Linked DNA regions of Yarrowia lipolytica. The protein of the gene in region 1 purifies or fractionates together with the protein of each later gene. This does not show direct contact. Links are inferred from orthologs where the notes say so. Each region holds a gene or a part of one and is shown in the gene's direction. Other genes may lie near its edges.

Region 1 (2,997 bases):
CAAATCTTCACAACACACAATTCCTACAAGTACAACTAACTACTCTACAACCATACACACTACAAGTCTCAAATATAGGGGATGGGACTCGATGGTCCAATCGTATTAACCCCGGAGGTTCGGCTGAGTACCAGCGTACGTCCTCCTAATACTATCTAATGCGAGTTGAGTAGTTCCTATCCTACAACTATCTCTTCTGTGTTTCCGACAGGGCAACGGGCTCTTTGCTTTCCGGATTCGCGACTCCTCTGTATAAAAGCGGCACGGGCAGCGTCTCGATTCTCAATGATCTAACGGGCTCTGGCTCTTGGCTATATCAATTTTGGCGGCTCTGGTCTTCTGTATCGGACTCGGGCTCTTTTTCTCCCTCTGTACTTGTACGGTTCTGTAACTAATTGGGGCTCCCACGGGCACTCTCGGACTCGGCTTCTCAGGCTCATACACACACATGGCTCTCTCTCGCACGGACACTCGGGCTCTCGCAATGGGTCTTTGACTCAAAATATCTCTCTATAGCGGCTCTCGTTGCTGGTGGCTCTTATAATCACTTGATATGGCGTCTTTCTAGATCTTGGCTTCCTCTGACTGGCGGTCTCTCGACGACTTGGCTCCCTATGGCGGCACATTCATTTCCAAACGGCTCTCTGCTCGGTCATTGTTAAGCGGCACTCCCCTCTGTAAAAAGTTCCGGCTCCAGGGTTTAGCATAGCTGAACTTCCTCCCCCTTGGTAGTCGGTCGAGATCACAGGCTCGAAGACGCGTCGAGACACGGGCTCAAGGCATTCTCTCTCTGTCGGTCGGTGGCACTTCTGCTCTGGCTCACAGGGCTCAGGCATCATATCGCTCTTCGCTATGGTAAGGTCATTTTTTAGACACATTCCCTTAGGGGCTGCAACACAGCTCTTAACCGGTAAACTCCCAGAGCGCAGCTTCTTAGCGACTCCAGTTGGGCATGTTCCCAAAGCACTCTGCTGACCACACTCGGTCAGGTAGTATTACGTCAGGTACGGCGGCCAAGCTCGTTCCTGGAAAGGCCTTGACAGGAGCCTGGTGCTTTTCAGCGGGCTCAGCACTGTCACAGAAGGACCCGACAACCGGTACAGTTGCCAGTCTGGCGGCGGAGGGATCGACTTCTGAAGAAGAAAAAGAAGAAGAAGAAGACAGCAAGAGCGCGATTGGGCTTCCTTATATACTTTTGGGACGTGGCTAGTCAGTAGACCTGAAGCGACAAGTGGGGGGGACACACCCGCCCTGCCATGCACCTAATCAACATTAGAGTTGAGAATGACACGCCTACCTCTTTGTTTTCTGGTGTGGTATCATTATCAGTGGACACTCATGCAGGCAAGGGATAAGGACGCTGGCTGCAGTCGATCCAGAAGGCAAAGGTGGCAGATGAGGACGTTTGACACATACGAATTGAGCAAAATGACCATGGTGCTGTATTCTCTTCGAAATTACGAGCCGAATGAGTGGAGTCAACATTTTTTCAGGTCACGTGCTTAGAACTTGTCCCAACACAGCGAACAGGGTTAGGGGAGACTTCCGCAAAACCTGCACACTGCATCCTCCCAAGCCCTCGGGCCATTAGCCAATAGAATAAGGACAAAATCCTGACCAGTGGAAATACACTTTGAGTGTAGAAAAGATCGCAGAGTGCACCAACTACTTACACAACACAGCAACCATGGCTTCAATCACCTCCGTCGTGAAGACTAGCGAGCTTATCCTCAAGTCTCCTCTCCTCAGCAAGATTGTTGTTCCTCTTGCCAAGACCTATGTCAAGTTCTCCGGATACCGACAGCTTGGTTTCAAGTGAGTATCAAGGAAAACAACGCCCTCCAGCGACACACCCCAACGACAGTTGCGCAGCATCGACAGTACGAGTGAATGGGAAAGATTATGGACGATTTCGGCTTTTGCGACACCAGTTTCAAGGCGTTTCTGCGTTTCTACGACACGCGAAATGTGCCCTTAAACGCGACGACGTAAGAGATATTTCAGGGTCAAAACACCATTGATACGGAAGTGACACAGCGACACTGGAAGACCACAAAAACCGACTCAGAAAGGAATCCCCCGACGCTCAACTGTAGATATTGCTGGAATTGTTGATTGATGGGTGTGCATCAACTTGTGCGTGAGCAAATACTAACCCCAGGATGAACGATCTGATCATTGAGGAAACCCCCAACATGCAGCTCGCTCTCCGACGACTCCCTCCCACCGAGTCTTACGACCGAGTCTACCGACTCATCCGAGCCACTCAGTTCTCTCTGTCTCACAAGCTTGCCACTGGTAACGACATCACCAAGCCTGAGGAGGACGACCACTACCTCATTCCTTACATCCTCGACGTTGAGGCTGAGGCTTTTGAGAAGGATGCTCTTGACAACCTCGAGGTTGTTAAGCGAAAGTAGGCATAAAAGCTCTAACAATACATGATTATTAGGTACGAGAGGGTAGGTATGGATGTCAGTACTTGTAGTCCGTGTATTGTATCTGGCACATGTAGTGTTGAAGATTGTAAGGGGTTTAGAACACAGAACGATTGGTGCGTATTGAGAGTTCTGTTGGCATTGACGCATTAATCTCTCTAAAATTAATGCCCCCGTTTGTGCTGACCAAATTGCTGTCTTTAGGGTCACTGTTGCGTGGTTGATTACTTATTACAAATGGGACGATTTTCACGCACTGTCCGAATCACCGATCATAATATTGGTCAATTTGTGTGAACAAAACTTAAATTTGTTTTAACCAAATTTCCAAACTAAGGATCACACAATTTAATGGAGAAATGACTTAGGAATAGGTAACTCGTTTTAGTCAGAGGATAGGAAATACGCCAGTTCCACACAATCATATCCTACTCCAACTACTTGTACTAGCTTGTAAATCGTTCACTTATCATCTAATGAATGTTAGCAGGCTATATAATTAATACCGTGGGGGAGTAAATGCTTAGAGTGATGAGAAGCCGTCCTCCATCACCTTGAG
Region 2 (2,590 bases), about 2.1 Mb from region 1:
AACCCATTCTTATATCCGTCGTTGTAACTACCCCCCCCCACATGTCCCCACACTCAAGTCCGCCGAATCGAACAATAGAGTGCTGTTGTACATAGTATGTGTGTGTATACAGTTGTAAAACCAACTATGGAGCAAAAGGAGCAAAAAAAAGGAGCAAAAGGCGCGCGCAAAAGACACAGCAGAGTGTAGACCGCTGAGGACGGTTCTTATTGGAGAATAAGACTGAAAGTTGGCCAAGTTGTAGAACAAGTCGCTTTGGCCAAGTAGTTGGACTCGCAGACTGTTCTGCTGCGGGAGTCTGCTGCTCCATGACCATGTCCACCACCTCTTTTTTTTTTTTTTCCACCGGCAAATCCCCGACGTCGCTCTAACTGGTCCTGCCTCGGCACGAAAACAAACCGGAGCAAACACGGGTGAAAATAAGCTTTTCTGACTCAGTGATCCCGACCGCAGGCACAGAATCATATGGAACAGAGAAGCTAATAAACCGAAATTGAGACTGGAAAAGTCTTGTACAAGCAAGTTCGATCTTGTACTTGTAGCTAATGAGCTGTGTGTGCAGTAGGCATGGAGTGATTTTCATTATCGATCGAGTTGGAATAACGGGGAATTTGGAATCATTTGGAATAATTTGGAGGATTTGGGGGATTTGGGGGATTTTGGAATAAAATGGATGAAAATGGAAGAAAATGAATGAAAATAATTGAAAAATCAAAAAATCCATAAAATATATAAAATATATAAAAAACCCACTCAAAAGAACCCAAACCCCCGGCCAGCAAACTGTCCGTGTCTCATCGACTATCATGTCACCAATCACTCACCTAAAAATACAATAGTCCGTGGTGTGCATGACCAAATGTTCCACAGATGCACTTGATGAAACTAAGTACTTGTAATTATGAGTTGTATCTCGATTGGCGAAAAAATTGAACCCCTCAAACTCGAATCCGACAACTACATTCCTCACAATTACCAGCCCCTTCCCTCAAAAAGTAGGTTACTCACGACGATCTGCTTATGACGTGGACATTTCAAAATAAGGTTGGTCACGTGCCCTTTTGCCTAGGGTTAATGCAGCCCCAGGTTTTGCAGGTTGAATGCCCCCCACGCTAAAATCCGTCGAAATGGGGGGACGTCAGGTTATGAGTGGTACAAGCAGGAGTTTTCGGAGCTTCCAGGGAACATTTGAGATATAACAATAAGTCATATAAGCCATTCTTAAGCGAAGATGTTGGTGCAGAGGTTTATTTACTCTTATTTCGATATTTTTTTTGAAATATCTGTATATGGACCTTAATTGGGACGTGGTTGGGACAGATTATGACAGTGTCACAGATTATGAGTATTTGACTGCTAGATGAAACGTCAAATTAGCACCTAATTGCCAGTTTGAATATTATAATACCCCCAATCTTTCTTTTTTCTAAGCCATTCCAGACTGGTCATCCCTCCTCTTAACTCATAACCTGAGTGGGACAGGTAGTCTAATTAGGATTTATCACCTTGTCCACATTACCATCATCATCATTGGTCATAACCTCACTCACACGCTCATACACACACAATCATGAGATTAGAAAACTGGCCGATTGTCGAAATGTTCCGGTCGCGGCCCGGCGTGCCCAACTGGCCCAAGTTTGGTCTGTTTGCCGTCGGCGTCATCGGATCGGCATATCTGGGATACCGCTATGCCACTCCTTCCGAAGAAGATATTGTGCGACGAATGAACCCCGAGTTGCGAGAGCGATACATGCTGGAGCGAGATGCTCGGCAGGAGTATTTCAACGAGTTTGTCAAGGAGGCCATTGCCCAGTCCAAGACCAACGAGCCCATCTGGAAGGTTGGGCCCATGGCTTCCAAGCCCATTGATTTCAATGTGGCTGTGCGAGAAAAGATGAAGGAGATCGAGGCTCGAAATGACCAGGATCGAAACGAGCGAATCAAGAACGAGCTGGCTGCCATCGCCAAGAAGGAGGAAGAGGAAAAGAACAAGAAGGGATGGTGGTAGAAGTGGTGATGGTGGAAGGGATGCTCGACCTGTAATGGGTTGGGCTGTCTAAACGTGTAAAAGTGTACATAGCAAGCATAAATAATGAATTAAGCATTGGATTTTTGAATGGAGTCGGTGGTGAGGTTGGACATGGACGTTTTTTTATTTTCATTTTTTTCCTTTTTATTTATTTATCTATTTATTTATTTACTTTTCTACTTTAAATTTACTTAAACACCTACCTAACGTGAAACAGAATTAATTCAATAAAACTCTGCTTGGAAAAGTAAATTAAAAATGAATTAAAATTATGAAAATGTAAAAAAAAAAAAATCCGACTATTAACGTATTAAAAATTGATTTAGAAAATATTAAACAAAGTACACGTTATGAATCACGAGCACTTGTACAAGTACTTCTACTTCTGCTTCTACTTCTACGCTATGTTATCACAATTTATTTATTTTTGCCTGCATCTCACAATCCAACCCTTACCCTTATCACCCTGTACGCGAGATTTAGGTTCAGGCCATCTGACCACCCTCAATATACCGACTTGCACATCAATGGGCCAAACCGAGTCGAAACAGACGTTTC

What was found.
Region 2: the proteins of YALI1_E40361g (region 1) and YALI1_E18903g purify together in Saccharomyces cerevisiae (affinity purification with western blotting; 3 studies listed by BioGRID, with this or other methods). This does not show direct contact. The link is inferred for Yarrowia lipolytica from reciprocal best matches to the Saccharomyces cerevisiae genes QCR7 and CBP4.

What each region holds. Positions count from the first base shown.
Region 1 is NC_090774.1:4,035,335-4,038,331, reverse strand, and holds YALI1_E40361g (uncharacterized protein), read left to right. Parts: upstream 1-1,687; coding exon 1,688-1,815; intron 1,816-2,161; coding exon 2,162-2,420; downstream 2,421-2,997. Other genes in the region: YALI1_E40327g (uncharacterized protein), read right to left, coding at 2,962-2,997. UniProt on the Saccharomyces cerevisiae protein: Component of the ubiquinol-cytochrome c oxidoreductase, a multisubunit transmembrane complex that is part of the mitochondrial electron transport chain which drives oxidative phosphorylation.
Region 2 is NC_090774.1:1,889,287-1,891,876, reverse strand, and holds YALI1_E18903g (uncharacterized protein), read left to right. Parts: upstream 1-1,570; coding exon 1,571-2,011; downstream 2,012-2,590. Other genes in the region: YALI1_E18918g (uncharacterized protein), read right to left, coding at 1-43; YALI1_E18895g (uncharacterized protein), read left to right, coding at 2,383-2,590.